Saccharomyces cerevisiae S288C: one gene and its partners. The gene in region 3 interacts genetically with the main gene of each other region. Each region holds a gene or a part of one and is shown on either strand. Other genes may lie near its edges. The genes, in order: NRG2, YCT1, NRG1 and CBF1.

What was found.
Region 1: of NRG1 (region 3) and NRG2, changing one enhances a phenotype caused by changing the other (phenotypic enhancement), as found in Saccharomyces cerevisiae (3 studies listed by BioGRID).
Region 2: mutations in NRG1 (region 3) and YCT1 together harm fitness more than expected from each alone (negative genetic interaction), as found in Saccharomyces cerevisiae (2 studies listed by BioGRID).
Region 4: mutations in NRG1 (region 3) and CBF1 together harm fitness more than expected from each alone (negative genetic interaction), as found in Saccharomyces cerevisiae (3 studies listed by BioGRID).

The regions. Positions count from the first base shown.
Region 1 is NC_001134.8:369,183-373,366, reverse strand, and holds NRG2 (Nrg2p), read left to right. Parts: upstream 1-2,667; coding exon 2,668-3,330; downstream 3,331-4,184. Other genes in the region: TIP1 (putative lipase), read left to right, coding at 632-1,264; Pre-mRNA-splicing factor ECM2, read left to right, coding at 3,689-4,184. UniProt on the Saccharomyces cerevisiae protein: Transcriptional repressor.
Region 2 is NC_001144.5:27,520-32,475, reverse strand, and holds YCT1 (Yct1p), read right to left. Parts: upstream 2,368-4,956; coding exon 772-2,367; downstream 1-771. Other genes in the region: YLL056C (uncharacterized protein), read left to right, coding at 4,171-4,956. UniProt on the Saccharomyces cerevisiae protein: High affinity cysteine-specific transporter. Major contributor to cysteine transport when cysteine, at low concentrations, is provided as the sole sulfur source.
Region 3 is NC_001136.10:541,399-545,547, reverse strand, and holds NRG1 (transcriptional regulator NRG1), read left to right. Parts: upstream 1-2,178; coding exon 2,179-2,874; downstream 2,875-4,149. UniProt on the Saccharomyces cerevisiae protein: Transcriptional repressor involved in regulation of glucose repression. Binds to UAS-1 in the STA1 promoter.
Region 4 is NC_001142.9:546,247-550,653, reverse strand, and holds CBF1 (Cbf1p), read right to left. Parts: upstream 1,896-4,407; coding exon 840-1,895; downstream 1-839. Other genes in the region: MNN14 (Mnn14p), read right to left, coding at 1-143; protein kinase PTK2, read right to left, coding at 2,411-4,407. UniProt on the Saccharomyces cerevisiae protein: Required for chromosome stability and methionine prototrophy. It is involved in chromosomal segregation. Binds to a highly conserved DNA sequence (5'-RTCACRTG-3'), called CDEI, found in centromeres and in several promoters.

The DNA of each region.
Region 1 (4,184 bases), on a different chromosome or scaffold from region 3:
TTGATAATTACTTTCTCGGCACTTGCGGCGCACACATGCAGCCGGACGGCAGCAAGATTTTCAAAACCCAAGCAACCGATACTCAACACAATGGAGCCCAACAAATTGGAGTAATGACCTTATTGGGTAATCAATATTCCCAAAAAGAGCATCAGACGATCTGGTTATGGTTTTTCTTGACTATAACCTTAATTATGAGACTAATGTCTTCGGGAGGTCCCTTTTCCGATTTTCCGACTCTTTTCCGTTGAAGAATGTACTTGTGGTTTTGAATCCTACGGCAGTTATTGCGGCGGTTTGGCCCTTTCTTTCAAAGATTGTGATGGAAATAATTGATTGTTCCGGGAAATGTGTCTTATTTTCTAAAAGCATCTTTTTTTCTCTCCAATTCTTCGAGCTATTTCCAGTAAAGGAAAAAAAAGGTTTGCTGTAAGGGTGAATATGTCTCCAACCTCTTTGAGGTACTGCGTTGCTTCATTCACCATTTAATATAAATAGTACATTGGCAGCCCTCTTTCAAACGTCAATTATTCTCGCTTGCCTAACTTTGTTCGGACCGAAATTATAAAGGCATTCAATCAGTAACAATAATTGCTATTGCATAACTATACCCTCTGCTAAATAAAATAAAATGTCCGTTTCCAAGATTGCTTTCGTTTTAAGTGCCATTGCCTCTTTGGCCGTCGCTGACACCAGCGCCGCCGAAACTGCTGAATTGCAAGCTATTATCGGTGACATCAACTCTCATCTTTCTGACTACTTGGGTCTAGAAACTGGCAACAGTGGATTCCAAATTCCATCTGATGTCTTGAGTGTGTATCAACAAGTCATGACTTACACCGATGACGCTTACACTACCTTGTTTAGTGAATTGGACTTTGATGCTATCACTAAGACAATTGTTAAATTGCCATGGTACACCACAAGATTGAGTTCTGAAATCGCTGCTGCTCTTGCCTCCGTTTCCCCAGCTTCTTCCGAGGCTGCATCTTCTTCCGAGGCTGCATCTTCTTCCAAGGCTGCATCTTCTTCCGAAGCTACATCCTCTGCCGCTCCATCCTCTTCTGCTGCCCCATCTTCTTCTGCTGCCCCATCATCATCTGCCGAATCATCTTCTAAGGCCGTTTCTTCTTCTGTCGCTCCAACTACCTCTTCTGTCAGCACTTCTACAGTCGAAACTGCTTCCAATGCCGGTCAAAGAGTCAATGCAGGCGCTGCCTCTTTCGGTGCTGTTGTTGCAGGTGCAGCTGCTTTATTGTTATAAAAGGGAACCTTTTACAACAAATATTTGAAAAATTACCTCCATTATTATACCTTCTCTTTATGTAATTGTTAGTTCGAAAATTTTTTCTTCATTAATATAATCAACTTCTAAAACTTTCTAAAAACGTTCTCTTTTTCGAGATTAGTGCTTCTTCCCAATCCGTAAGAAATGTTTCCTTTCTTGACAATTGGCACCAGCTGGCTACTCGTTGCTCGAAAACTACTCTCTTTTATTTTTAATTTACGAACGATTATCTTTCGAAGGAACGACCAAACGAGCTAAATATGGGCATCGCCAACGTTAAAAAAATGGACCCTACCGAAGACGTTATTATGCCAAGGCGCAGCGAAGAGTCTTTCTCCTTGAGAAAAAATATGCATGAAACAAAATAGACAGGACCAGACCCTCTTCGGGAAAAAAAGTCAAGATTTAACACGTGGCTACACCGGCTGGCTTACAACCAACCAACATAAGATCAAACAACCCTCAAGTTTAGAAAATGCCTTAATAGCAACCTCTAAAACCATAGACTTCTCCATTTTCACGTGCTAAAAAAGTTCGGGTATGATGTCATACAAATCCTTTCAACAAAAGATGCTTCAAGATCAATGGCACTCGAGATCATAAATCCCTGCAGAGCAGCGGCTCTGCATATAGAATAACAAACAAATCGTATTTTTCCCGAAGCCAAGAAAAAAAGGAGACTATAACCTTTCAAGCCAGACGGAAAACTATCTGCCCAAGGACAAACTGGCATGGGCTGCTTCAATGTTCGGCTACCTTTTTTCTCTTTTAACGGGGTTTGGTATTTTTTTTCTTTACTTCATAAACGAATGTTAAACGACTGTGAAAAAGCCATCCCTGGATTATGCGAGAGTACTCTCAGGGCACCCGTCCGTTTAAAGACCCCAGGCCAAAATAAAAATTTCTTGAAGGAAAAAAATACACAGGGCCTTGAACTGAATACAAAGCCATCTTTTTTCTCGTTTGTCAGCACGTCCCAGAAAAACGCGCAGCCGTAGCTCTTGATAAGTGGCTTCTGCGTTTTGCAACGCTTTTCTGATCTCATGTTTTCTTATGCTGCGGGACATCATTGTCGTTGAGAAAAGTTTCAATTTCAAACGAACTGCCTACCGTTGCATTCTCCTTGGAGAAGGGCCTGAGTTTAGGGGAATCACGTCTGGCTATTACATGCTACATCGTGCAGTAGCTCCTACATCGCTAACAGGCAAATCCTACACCCTCTTTAAATCGTTTATCTTTTATATATTATCTGGCCTAAATTTTTACATATAAATATTTATCATATTATGACAGCTCAAATGAATTTCCGGCACCAAGTCATATGAGCACTCGCTACTGTTCGAAGAACAAAAAATATAAAGCTTCTACAAAATTTCCAGATGTCCATAGGTTACAAAGACAACTTGATGTCAACTATTCTAGCTAAAGATAGGAAATGTGAATTTCCCATCAATTTCGAATGTTCGCCCTCCCAGATAACTCTTATGCCTGAAATGTTCTCTTTTAACAATGAAAGGAAATACCAAACCCTGATACCCTTGATGAAAACATCACATCTAATTGATGATGACTTGAAAGATAAATTGAATAAGTGCGCTTTCGATTTTTTCTCCGGAAAACAAGCGAACAGAACGAGTGACGGGACTATTTCAAGATTAACAGCAAGTGGAAAAACGTCACCGATACTGCCATTGCAAAATATTAATATTGTAAAAGCAGAGAATACCGGTAACGGTAAATCAGATCCATATAGCTCAATTAAAATAAGCAAACCGACAAAAACCGTGATAAAATTGAAATCTACGAAAACCAATACAGCAGGACAGAGGACTCGTCATTTCTGTAAGATCTGCTCTACTGGGTTCACCACTTCTGGTCATCTTTCAAGACATAACAGAATCCATACAGGTGAAAAAAATCATATCTGTCCGCATGAGGGCTGTGGACAGAGGTTTAGTAGACATGATAACTGTAATCAGCATTATCGAACTCATGCAAACAAGAAGAAAAGAAACTGGAAGAGGAGGGAGGCTAGCAGTTGATGTGAGTGAGCTCAGCCAAAAACATTTAAATATTCAAATAACGTACAAATAAAAGACTGATAAATAGTAATAAAACTAAGCGGGTTAGTAATACTCACCAAGAACAATAGCAGGAACGATAGTCGGTTCTCTTTCGTAATTTTTTTAAGTCACAACCCGGAGGGACGTGAAGTTTCAAACCTTATTCATTCCGGGATTACCCTCTCCTGTGATGACGTTTAGGCAATAAGGACTAAAAAAAAAAAAAAGAAATGCTATGGCAAATTTTATTGATAGAAGTGGTAATGATGATGGAAGGGCTTTTGAGCAGGTGAATAGAAGGTAGCTAACGGAAAAGAGTTATTGCACCCTTAATATAATGAATGATGAAATTAATGAGCCACCGCCCAATATATGTGAGCAGTGCTTAGGTGATGAGGCTAATATACGAATGACTAAAATTCCACAAGGCTCTGAATGTAAGATTTGTACCTTACCGTTCACCTTATACCATTTTAAGACGTCTAAACGAAGCAATAATATCATTAAAACATTAATATGTGTACGGTGCGCCACTCAGAGAAACATTTGTCAATGCTGTATGCTTGATTCAAGATGGCACATCCCTATACAACTGCGGGATCATTTAATATCCCTTGTGAACGAGGAAAACGTTATGACGGAGGAAGCAAAAAACGACATGATGAAAAGGTTTCTGTCACTAAAAAACGTGAAATTAGGAGGAGCTCAGATTACGAGTGATCCGTCAGAAGCAGATAATATCGTTGATAAATTGAAAAATATACTTCTGCGAGCAACATCAGATGGCCCAAGTACTCCGTTAATAAAAAACACAACTGCATTGTATAAAAATG
Region 2 (4,956 bases), on a different chromosome or scaffold from region 3:
AATTTGAAGAATTCAAACTATTTTTTAAACTGTTGTGACAATTCTTTAGCACAAAGAGTTCAATTTTGAAAATCTACCAATGTATATAATTTTTGCCGTTGTATTAGACAGGTTGTGCTCACTGTATATAGTCTCATTTAATAAATTTTTTTTTTTGAAGTGCAAATACCCTCAGTTGACATTCCAAGAACTATGGTTACCCACGAAAAACATCAATATGTTTTGAATTGTTATGTAAATTATCATTTACAAATTTTCTGGGCATATTGCATACCGAGGTATGTAATTTCAGCAAACTCGAGTGCTGCTTTCCATCCATACGGACAACTCAAGAACAAATGGGTACAATATAGTTGTCATTATTATGGCAAAAATATTGAGGGTTCAAAGGTTTTGCGTATTTTAACCACAGGCTAGAGGGGTTACTAGTCTCTGTCTTATAAAATGTTAGATTATAAAGTACAGAGAACAAATATCTACATGTTTTTTATGCTAAATTTGAAAGTTTAGGTGATTTATTTAAGAAAAACTAATCTTTAATGGACTTTTACCGGCTGTTTTGAAGAAATTGTCAAGAAATTCCTCTATAAATTTATTCAATTATCTATTATTTTCTAAGCAGTAAGCTATTTACCATTGTAAATGATTCTTTGGGAAATTGTGCCTTTCAAAGAGACACAGTTCCTCTTTCTTGCAGCCGGAAAGTTTAAAAAATTAATTTTCTAATTATTAAGTGTCAGATAGAACATTTACACAACAAAACATCAATATTTACAAAGGATATATAAAAGTTTCGTTTTCTAAATCAGTCAAATCAAAGACTGCCAAATTGTTCTCGTGGGTTACCACTTTCCCTTCTTCAATGGAAGAAGGATTTTCGCTTTCAATGAGTTGAATTCTGTCCAAATAATTTTGTAAATTTTCGTCATAATTTTTTAGTCTTTGATTATTCCTTCTTTTTAGTATGAAATGGATCAGTAACAAAATGGCTGGTGCAAGAGAGAATGATAAAACGATTTGAACAATCCAGGCAGGTAAAAAGCGAGGAGAGTCCTTCTCTCTCCATATTTGTGGTGATATGATATTAGCAATTCCCATCGCAAATAAGGACACCGAACTTCTTGTGAGTTTTTTGGTGTACCCAGATGCACTTGAACTTGCCCAGCTAAGAGCTATAATAAAAGGAATACCAAATATTTGTCCTGCCATACAGATATTTGCTAAGATACCAATCTTATTGTCCCATGGTAAAGCAGCTGCAGCGATGGATCCCACCAATGCTGGTAAAGTCCAAAAGATGGCTGTTAAAGCTGAAATATTTTTCCATTTTGCTAACATCAACGTAGCGATGAAGGCACAAACGACGGCGAAACCAGCACCGGCAACTGATACCAATGTCGAACCTAGAGCATCAACTCCACCCATTCCTTCAAATAGCAGGTTCTGTTGATAGGGCAGATTGTTGGCTAACTGTTGAAGAAGAAAAAACAATCCAAATAACCAGGTTATATAATCTTTCATTGCCTCTCTGAATTGACTCTTTTTGAAGACTTTTTGTTCAATGGAAGAGCCTGTGGATGCCTGAACTCTCCTGATAATCCATACCCTTTCTTGTATTGAAAAGAATTTCACATCAGCAGGATTATTAGGAAACCACAGAATTACAACAACCGTCATGATAAAAGTCAAACCACCAATGATGATAGTGAATATTTTCCATAACGAAATGCTGGGATTTGTTATATGAAGAACACCATAAGCAATAAACCCAGTTGGAATTGGAGACCCCATACATGCTGCAAAGAAAAATGGCTGAGCAGCAGCTCTTTCTGAAGCATCGAAGAACATACCCATAGTGGTAATTAATATCGGGATAACAACACTCTCTGTTAGCCCCAAGAAAAATCTCAACGCAACGACACCGGAAAAGTTGTATGCGGTACAACTTAGGAAAATAAGTATAGTCCATGTGGCCAACAACCCACCCAAGAATTTCCCAAGTGGTAACTTTTGAGCCAAGTATTGTCCAGGAAATTGGCCGATTGCAAAACCAACGTAAAACAGCGTATTTACAGTATTGTAAGTATTTTGGGTAAGACCTGTATCTTCAAAGAAGCCTAGAATCGAATCATAGGATAAAGTGGCTTTGTCCATGTAAAGTAAAAGGTTAATGGCAGAGACAAAGGTGAATATTGTGAGAAAAAGCTTTCTCTTTAATTTTTTTTCTTGTTCAGGCGTGATTTCTGGAACTGCTGCGTCATTCTCCTCCATGAATGCTAGCGTAACATCAGCGAGTCTCGAAGGAACTAGGATTTCATCAGAAGAGGAGATCGAGTCTGCTCCAATTTTTACGTCAACTTTTGACATTTCTTTTTTGTTATATTTTCTTTTTTATTTTCTCTTGATGTTTTGTTCAACCTTCAAGAAGTGCAACCTGAATAGCTAAATGTCGAATCAATCGTCTGTTTAAGTACTTTGATTTTTCCGACCTCTTCAATTCAACAGGTACGCATTTTTAACAATACCTATTCATCTTGACGTCCAGTTCCTAGGGACCTGCGAAATGTTTTAGCTATCTACATATTACATCACCGTTCCAGTGAGGGGAGCCACCGTAAATGGAAGAACTTCGAACACTATTGCATGCTGCAAAGACGTGCCTTCGATGCTCAGTGACTGAAATGTACAAGGGGTAGCCAGATGTCTTACATCAAATGGGGTGCCTATTTTTTTTTTCAGAAGCCACACATTTTTGTTTCTGCAATGCCACCTGCGACTTCGAAAAAGATTCGCGGAGAGTTAACAGTCATCGCCACAAGTCTGGTCCTTATCGGCCAATATGGGTGGCGCTATGTACGTTGTGTCACACTATTTTAGTCAGCAGCGCAGACCAAAGACTCCGTAACATCACAGAGAACTTTGATTATCCGTTATCTTGTTAAGTTTTCGCCGCAAAGCTCGGATGCTGAACTCGGATGTTGAACTCGGATGCTAAGAAGATATCCGTGATTTGCATCCGAGCTTGGCGTACTATTGCTATAGTGGTAGCCACAATTTAGAATTGATACTCGGAACCAGCAAGGGGCAGATGGATTGAATGTAGTTGATCGCGTGTCACGTGACCAAATCGTACTGGTAAAGAACTGAAAGCACACGCAAGTAGACAAAATCAGCATGTCATTTTTTCTGAAGAAATCTTTCATAAAACTATGAGTCTTCCCAATCAGGTGTGGTGAATATCCAGATGCTCTGGCCAATCTGTAACATGGTGAGGCTTAAGAAATTTTTTACATACTGGTCAGAGCACGATTGATGGTGCCATGACTTTCCGCTTTCGCCATTGCGAAGGGTGTTGCATAGTGTATACAAAATGCATGATACATAACATCTCAGAAGGACAGATATGAAAGGCCTAATTGTCGGAAGCAAAAGTCAGAGCTCACGTCCATACAATTGAGTTGTGCTGATTAAGGATTTCAAGGGCGAGCGCGCATCTAGTTAGCCGAAGGAAAGCGGGCTTGGCATCTGGAATCTGTTCATTTTTGAAGTCATATGATTTTTCATGCCATATATTTATCACAACGCAAAGCATTTACAACCAAGTAACCAATGAGAACGGTGGCCCCGTGATAAAACCTCACGTATGACACACTGGAACATAATTTTATTGTTTTTCACCTCTTAGTGTTTTCTCTTTCGCGAGGCAAAATCTGAAGACATGAAATGCAATACTCTTATGCTGCGCCAATGACGGTAGCACTAGGGTATTGTGACGTTATGCAAAAAGAGAGAGAAAGAACAATATGAAAATAGAGAGGACGGACATAAGTCTTCCGTGGAAGAAAGAAACCATCGTTTTTGCAGATGAGATTCTTTTTCCAATGCGGAAATTAGCGGAACTTCTCAACATAATAGATTGTGCTGGAAAAAGTTTAAAGGGAAAGCCGCGGATTTAATTTGCCATTAGTTCTTGGCTTTCCTGAAGATATGATTACTAACACAAGGATATTAAGGAAAAAAAGTAGGCGATGAAGACCCTCAAGTACTCAACTAACGTATAAATAACGGCTCCCGCTTCTATCAACTATGCTTACAATCACTCTTGTATTCATAAGCGCTAAGGCGTGATAACTCAACTTTTACAAAAGAAAATAAAAAAGAGATCAAAAAATGAAAGTATTTATAACTGGTGCTTCTGGCTTCATTGGTTCTGCCGTATTATCTGAACTAATATCCTCGGGTCATGAAGTTGTTGGCTTGGCAAGGTCAGACGAGGCTGCTGCAAAGATTAAGTCGATTGATCCTGCTGCAAAAATCCTTCGCGGTGATCTCAAGGATCTGGAAATTTTGAAAAAAGGTGCCACTGAATCTGATGGCGTTATTCATTTAGGATTTGTGCATGATTTTAAAAATTTTGAACAGTGCTGCGAAATTGACCGTCAGGCCACTGTAGCTATGCTAGAGTCACTTAAAGGTTCTAACAAGCCTTTCTTATATACGAATGGTACACTTTCTTTGCGACCAAACAAAGTTGCTAACGAACAGGATGGTATTGATGAAGATTCCAAAATTTTGCGTGCTGTCACTGAACAGGTTGCCTTGAGTTACAAAGACAAAGGTGTTTCAGCAAGAATTGTCAGACTCCCATTCTCGGTTCATGGCAAGGGGGACAAGGCTTTTGTACCAATATTAATGAATATTGCCAAAGCTGCCGGAAAATCTGGCTATGTCGGACAAGGCACAAACGCTTGGGCGGCTGTACATCGTTTGGATACGGCTCCTCTGTTCAGACTTGTTTTAGAGAAAGGAAAAACAGGACAAGTGTATCATTGCGTTGGTGAACAAGGTATACCATTCAAAGATATTGCGCGTGTGATTGGAGAAATTTTGAATGTTCCCGTGGCCTCTATCCCTGTTGATGACGCGGAAAGTCATTTTGGCTTCCTCACTTGTTTT
Region 3 (4,149 bases):
ATACGGAAAGGTCTACGTGTCATAATAAATTGCATCTGGATTGCGATTTTGGGTCATGCCTAACTGGGAAAATATTTACATCTCCATGTTCTCATTCTGCCTTTGCTTTCCTTCAAAACATGGTTTTCAATTCAACCTAGGGTCTACCGCGGAACCATATGTACGCCGTAAATGCGAGTGTTCTTGAAAGGTAGTAATGTGTTCCCTCTCAATATGTAAGTCCTTCAAGAGTATGCACTTGCAGTTGCACTGTTTCGGGTAATTATCCGTCATTAAGAAAAAGATGCTTCCACTTTCTCGTGTTTTTACGCACAATCGTGCCATTTAACCGGAAATAGACTCCATTGCATTGATTGCTCTCATAAAAATTATAGCCCGCGTTTGATACTTGTTTAAAATAGGTGTCGACAAAGTTAGTTTCTGTCTTCCATTTAGTTTTTACAATATGACACGTCAAATAAATCTTTTCGATTTAGTTAAAAGAGTTACCTGGCGATAGCCTTCTGGTAAAACACCTATTCATAAAACAATCTTAAAAAACCAAAAAATTACCAAACAACTATGTAGGACATATTTTTACAGTTCATAAAAACGCTTCGAGCTGCCGATATCGGTATCAAACACCAAAATATACATAGTGCTGGTTTAAGCCAGAATATCTTGGTGAAGCTGCGCCTATATGCCTTGTATTTAAAACAAGTCACGAAAAGCTATTGCCAAAGGAACATAAAAACTCGTATCTATGTTATATTATAAAAAAGATATAATATTTATATATTATTATTAATATTATTTTTTAGTTCCGAAAGGAGAAACTTATAATTTTTATATCATTATTTATTATTATTTTTAATTTCAACTCCTTTTATACCTATTACTGCATGTGGAGAAAAGATTAAACCAGGCGAGGCAATTTACACTTATTCATTGAGATAAGATGAAAGAGCCACGCCTCGTTACATTTAGGCTACATCATATAACAACTAGTCCCAGCCTCCCCCCTTCCCCACCTTGGAGTACTTTTCTCCAGAAATAGAAAGCTAAGAATCAAAATCGCACCATTACGTATGAGCTCATTTGCCGTCTTTTCCCCGACAATCCGGCACAAAATCTGGCTACCCGTCGTATGTATGGTAGACGATATTATGTACTCTAGTAATGCTATGTACGAATAGTTTCAGACGGGCACAGGGACCTAGAACGCCAAGCGCAAAAAAAAGCTGATAGGAATTCGACGTCACGAACCCTTGGAGTAAAAGAAAACTAAAATATACGAACTTCGCGGAAAATAAAAAACTTTTCCTTCAGTTGTTCCTCGTTCGAAACAGTAATCTACACGGACCGTTGCTTATTTTTAGCCAGATTCTAGTTAAATAAAAAAAAAAGAAATAAAATTAAAAAAAAATTAAACTGTGGCAGATAAGCCTTTCTAATCGAGGCAGTGTGTTTCTTTTGACTTCACCGTTTGTCTTCGCATAGTTCCCCTAAATATTCTAACTAGAAAAATCGCTAGTATTTTTCTACTTATAAGTTGATTTTCCGCATATTTGTCTTTGAAACGTTTGAGACAGGGAAAACTCTGTTTTCTAAAAGAGGAAAAAGCAAAATGAAGTATTGGCTTGGTTGCGGTCAACACCCTCAGGGAAAGCCAAGAAATGCTTTTTACTGTTTAGCAGTGAAAAGGCCGCACCGGAAAAGAAGGGAAAAATTCATTGGGTCTAGATTTTTCTTATCGGTAAAAGACTATGGCCTCTTGAGGACCCTTAAGCGTGAAACGAAACGCGTTGAGCGCGCAGAGGGGCTTCGCCGCCGGTCAGGGTGTTTGGGGTGTTTTTTCTTTTAATTATTCTCTTGGCAGTGTCATCTTTCTACAGTCTGGCTGCAGGCTCCTTTTCCGTTATTCATATATAAGGAAGAGAACTTTCCAAACCCAAATTAAAAAAAATTTGGTTCCCATCTCTTAACTAAAAGAAATTATATTACTCCACCTCGTTTACAGTTTTTTGATGCTATAAGGGAATTCTGCAGCTTTTGAAAGTAAAAATCATATCGTATACGATTCTGCAAAGTATTATTGTACTGTAATTCCTACCATTACGGCGCCTTTTTCTACCATTCACCTTTCTTGGATTGTTCCTCTCGACCAGCATATTACTACCCTTCGCAAACTTTCAGGCAATGTTTTACCCATATAACTATAGTAACCTCAATGTTTCTACTATGCCCGCACTGCCGGGAATCTCCGCATTTGATGGAATGCAAGATGAAGAAAACGTTGAAATAAGCCCGGAAAGAAAATATCAGACGCTACTACCAGTTCTAACTAATTCTCATGTGGTAGAGAATGAACTAAAACACAAATTAAATAAGACTGCTTTTGATTTCCGATACCAAACCAAATCAGAAAATGGCTCTGAAAAGTGGGAGCCAAAATACTTAATAACGCCTAATTTACAAACAAGAAGCGTCTCTTTTGACAATTCATCGGTACAATATAATTCAGATTCATCCGAAAAAAGCTCGCTATCACAACTAACTTGTAATTCATCAATAATACAACAGCCTGAGAACGGAATAGTTTCTAATGATGCATATAATAAGATGGCAAATAGTAGATACTCTCTGAAAACGCGGAAGCAAAGAACAGATCCAAGAAATACGTTATCAGATGAGGAAGACCTTGAACAAAGGCGCAAATACATTTGCAAAATTTGCGCAAGAGGATTCACTACATCGGGTCATTTAGCAAGGCATAATAGAATTCATACGGGCGAAAAAAATCATTGTTGTCCGTATAAGGGATGCACGCAGCGATTCAGTCGACATGATAATTGCTTGCAACACTATAGAACACATTTGAAAAAGGGACAATAATTGACGGTATACCCGTGTTTTTCTCATTAGCAGTACTACTATTCCGCACTTTACATCATTTTTTATAAACTCATGCATACATACATTGTACTTCAAAAGATTTTTTTTTTTTTTTGGCATCATAAATCACTTTCAGATCAGTTTCCTTTCAAACGCGCGGCATTAAGAAAACTTTTAATGTCAAAAAAACGGAAGCAAAAACCCCTCCCTTCCGCTTAAGATCATGTCTGGACATTTTAGTTGTAAGGCTGCGCCTCGGTAGCAAGTAGTGCTGCAACAAGGCTATTATGCCACCTAAACAGACCACTTTTGCTTAATACGAGACTGTGACTACCTCCTGACTTCCTGTCATAACAAAAAAACAGACGTCGCTGCATTAACATTTACAACCCCAAACCTTCTTCATTCATTGCTTTTCTTTTAGAAACTGTGGCTTTTTGACATTTGCAGTTTGCATAGTTACTTTTTGATCACTAACAACGATATATTATCGTTGAACAATTTACTACGCAAAACAGTTCACGTGATGTACGTCAGATAATTCACTGAAGGTACTACCTTTCGAGCATCTCTTACAGCAATGGTAACAGCTCATTGAAGAAGAAAAAAATAAGACAAATTTTTTTAGAGCTGCAAGCGTTTTACTAGGCATCAGAACTGTCTCCGAACAATAGTATAGTTAATTATTATACTTCAACCCTAGAAGAAATACCCGAAGATGTAAGGATGTTTTTGTTCCTATAAGCTTTTTTTTTTCACAAAATTTTCATCCACTCTACGTCTTCCATACGGTCATATAAAAGGTGCCATATCCTCGGCCAAGACAAAAGGCTTCAGCTCCATATCTTTTGAAATCATGTAAACGCATGGGGCTCAAGTACTGAGCAAAGTAGGAGAAAGGATATTGAACATGTTCAGAAGAACGTGGTATCTTTTTCCTTATTATACATTCTCTTGGCGAGTGATCGAAAATATATATGATGATATCCTATAACAACAACAACATGAATTTCTTCGTCCGAATCCTTTATAGGTGGAAACAAACTTTGACAATAGCTTTTTAACACTGATAATATATTTTCGCGTCATTCTTGCTGATTTTCTTTTTTCTTATTCTTATTGTGCTTCATCCTCCATCTTCAATGGCGGTAACGTAAATCAGAGTAGCTTTCATTTTCTTTATTTCTGTTTCTGTTTCGCGTCGGGATAACAAAGCGTACTTACTAATGGCTATTATTTTTGCTAATGACACAAAATCCTGTTACCAATTTCCAA
Region 4 (4,407 bases), on a different chromosome or scaffold from region 3:
TCAATAATCGACGAGCGACCGCCCAATACAAATATGGTAATGAATAGTAACTGGATAGTTAGAAGAGTAATGATTATCTTTTTAAAGTGAAGCCGCAGAGATCTCAAAACGTACATGGAGAACCTGCGCAGTGATAACATCATTGGAATTGTATCTTGCTTCGCTTTCTTTTCTCTTTCTCTCTTTCTTTCTCTTCCTCTCGTTTAGACAATCTCAATGATTCTAATTCATAAAAATAAACGTTGGTTGTTTTCCAGAAAGTAAATAACAGTTGTTGTTAACTATATAAGATACAAATAGCGGAATGCCAGACTAAAGACAAGTGCACTCTTACTTGATCTTCGTCCAATGTTTCTTCTTAAATAATCAAGCAAAGCCCCAAAGTAGAAATAGGCCCGTGATTGTCGCGGACCTTCAAGGATGTGACGTTTTTGCCTGTTTTTTTCAGGTAATCCTCTCCACTACTATCTTTTTTCTTTTCTGCGACCCAAAAAAAAAAAAAGGAAGGGAAAACTAAGATTTTTTGATAAAAGGCGGGAAAACGGAGGTTGTGCGTATTTCTCTTGGCGATTTTTCCATTGAACGTCAAAAAATTCTTGGCAAAACTTTTTTACTAAGCCATTTAGGGATGAAAAACAATAACGTACAAAGACATATTTGAAAGTCCGTCCCGTCCTCTTTTACTTGCTGAGTTTGAGGCTGAGTGATTCTCTAATACCATCCGGGCGGTTTCAAATATGCCGATGGAATATTGATAAAAACTTAACAGAGGTGCTATGGGGCAGAGACGCAGATACATAGGGAGACTCGAAATACATTTAGCTATCTATTTTTAACTCTCAAGCCTCATGTGGATTATCGCTCCTAGTGCTTTTTCTTTCGTTCTCTTGTTTCTTGTGAGTGTGCATATCCTCGTATTCTATTCCCTCCTTCCTTAAAACGCGTTTCATGTACTCGATTTCTTTGTAAGCATTTCCCAGTTCTTCCTGCAGTTTCTCATTTGCACTGGCTAATTGCGATGCGTTTTGCTCGCTAAGCAATTTTTGTAACGTCCACTTTTCGATGTTTGCTTCATCGGTTTCTTTCAATTTTTGAATGTATTCAGCGGCACACGCCAATATTGCTGCCTTACTTGATTCTCTCACGGGCAGGAGGTCGCTTAAAACGTTGATTGCAGTGTTGATGTTTTCGCGGCGACGCCTTTCGACTTCTTTATGGGAGTCTTTTCTTTGCTTTTTCCACTCGTCTGTTGTGGCCAAAGTAGTAGGTTTTCTTCCACGACGACCCGGCTGCATGCTTATATCCTTTTTGAGATCAATGTCAGCGTCATCATTGTCTTCATCATCCTGTTGGTGTTCTGGCCCACGATCGTGTTCTGCCAATGGTATGAGCATGTCGTTTTTAGATTGCTGTGTAGATTCCATTGGTGAAGACGTCATTCCCTCCAGGGAGGTGTTTGGCTTGACTCCTTCATTTGATGGGGTTATGGCTCTTTCCCCATTAAGGGAATCCTTGTGCTCACCATTCGCGTTCGTTTGATTAGATGTGTGGGCATCAGAACTATCTTCCTGGCCCTGGATTAAGTCTGTATAATTGACGGTAGCGGCAACAGCAGCCTCAGCCACTGACGCATCTTCGTCATCACTTCCTTTCTCATCTTTGTTAGACGTCAGTCCGCTTTCATACTGACTTTGAGTCCCTTTTAGCGTAGCCCCTTCGCTCAACAGAGCAGAGTCAATATTTCCGTCATTGCTCTCTTGTGACAACAAGCCTTGATCTCTTTGCTTTTTCCTGGCCTCGCTGTAGTTCTGCTCCTCGTTATAGCCTCTTTTTCTTGCCGAATGGATTTCCTCATCCTCAGTAGAAAGCTTATTATTATTTGCCAGAGAGTTCATCGTTAATAAAAGTGTAGAAAACCGTATTATATTTTAAGCACTTGATGTTGGTACTTGTAGCAGAAATGAAAATGACCGCCAACTAAAATGATTAATTAACAAAGTGTTTATCTTTAAGGTATAATGGTTTACATTCTACATTAAATAAAAAAACGTGATAAGCACGTGGATAATTGTTGTTTGCCCAATACTTTTCTCGTCCGATTTTATTTTTTTTTTGACCTTGGTGGGTGAGACATGGTGGTCCCGAAGGATCCGAGAGGAATGAGAAAAACCGATCACGTACATCGATGTACGGGAAAAATAAATAATAAAATGTTTGTTTATTGTTTGAAGTAAAATATATAAGTACATATGTGGATTTATATGTGTGTGCTTTATTTCATTGTTTGATTTATCTTCCGTTCTTTATCTTTTCCCGGTGGGATATTTTATATAAAAAGCTTATAAGGAAGGGTATGAAAGAATATGACGATACTAAAGCATAAAAGAGGGAATTAAAGAAGTCCTAACGTCTATCTTGAGATAAAGGCGCTCACGGATGACATGTTTGTAACGCTGTTGGTAATGTCCAAGTGGTGGTGAATTACCTTCTTCTTTTTCGAGGATGACACGCTTGGACTTCCGAGGCTTCTCAGTGAATTGCTTGATGACGAAACATTCGGTGCGCTAAAGTTCTTTGTAGAAGCCGGTGTTTCCGATTTGAGTGATAGGTCGCTCATACGCTTATCTAATTGAGTGCCAGCCTTTGCAGGGAGCGGAGTGGGGCCATTATGTGTTGGTGTAGTAGGGGTGGAGTTTAGCATCGACTTTAATTCCTTCATTGTGGAATCATCTTCGCTTAAGTTGTCCTCTACTTTTGTGGAGGTTGGTGTTGGTTTTTCCAATATGCTGTCCACATTAGTCGTGGTAGCCTCTTCAATGACTTTGTCCTTGTCGCCGTTCTTGACCTCATCTTTCTTCAAATTTTCCTTTTTATCTTGCTGCTTAGGTTTGGTGCTTTCATTCCCCCCTTCATCCCCAACATCGTGTGTTTTGGTCTTTGCGCTATCTTTTACCTTGGATTTTTGTTTCAAGGAAGGAGATTCTGCAATTTCCAACATCGATCTTGGTTTAGAAGTGAGCGTTTCCTTTTTTAGGAATGGATTAGACGTGTGAATGACCTCTTGATCATGGGGTGCATCTAATGAATTTTCACTAAAATCATTGGTAGAAGTACTTTTCCTTAATTCAGGAACCCTTACTAAGTCATCATCATTTGGCTCGACACATGTTTCAATTTGTTGGAAAAACGGATCATTAAATAAATCATCCATTGTATATCTAGTTGCAGGGTTCGGGTCAGCCAATCTCCATGCGATACGCGTGGCATCAGTATTCTTGAAATTTCTTGCTAAAGAGTATTCGGAACCAGGACCCGGCTTGTGGCAGCCCTTGTCCCTGAAATGTGGGTTTTGATGATTGATGAAGTTGTCATATGACACTTCAAATTCCCTGAATCTCGCATCAGTGTTACAAGAATCGATGAAGGGGATGATATTGTTAATCATGGTAATCAGCATGATTCCGAGGGCATAGGAATCCATGGCCAACGGATTATAGGGTTTTTGGAACTTTTCGGGGTAGTGCTTCTTGGCATCGAAGTACATTACCTCTGGCGGAGTGTATGGTGGAGAGCCAATCATACCTTGGCATGTTTTCACTGGACTAGTGTAGTCATGAGGTATCACATGGTACCAATCAGAAATACCGAAATCCGTCAATTTGCATATACCTTCTTTAGAAATTAAAACATTTTCGGGCTTCAAATCACGGTGAGCAATACCATTGTCATGACAAAACTTAATACCTTGGGCCACTTGTTTGAAAAGACAATATTTTTCATTGAAGGGAACGTTCTTCCAGCCTGTTCTTTCCATCAGTTGGAAGAGGTCCTTAACACCTAGTTCCATAATAAACCCCCAACCACGAGTTGTATATGTGGTCGTGGGAACTTTTAGAAGATAAAAAGTATTCGTGATGTGAACGTTATGACTTAAATGCTTAGCTATGATGAATTCTTTGGAGCATCTCTTGTAAAACTTCTCGGGTGACTCGTGGTATATCATATTCAGTTTTTTTAGAGCGTAAACATCCTTTTGCCTGTAACTTGATTTAACCTTTCTAACTTCACTAGACCCACCCGAACCAATAGGTTTATTGTCCGTATCAAATACGAAATTATCCGTTAAATGGACACTATATTGTTTCATATCTTCGGGCAAAAAATCGTTCGGATTAGCAATTGGAAGGGGCAACATCCGTATCTTGCTGTTACCATCATGCATGTAAAAACTCAAATCGTTCTCCTTATTCGTATTCAGAGTGTCTGCAAATGCAGTATCTGGCCTAGCATGGTTTGGGCTTATGCCGTATGGATTATAAACTATATTCTCGTTGGGAAAATGGTGACTAGCCATGCTATTAGACCTTTGCGGTAAGCCCGCGTGATGAGTATTTCTTTCTTTGTTTC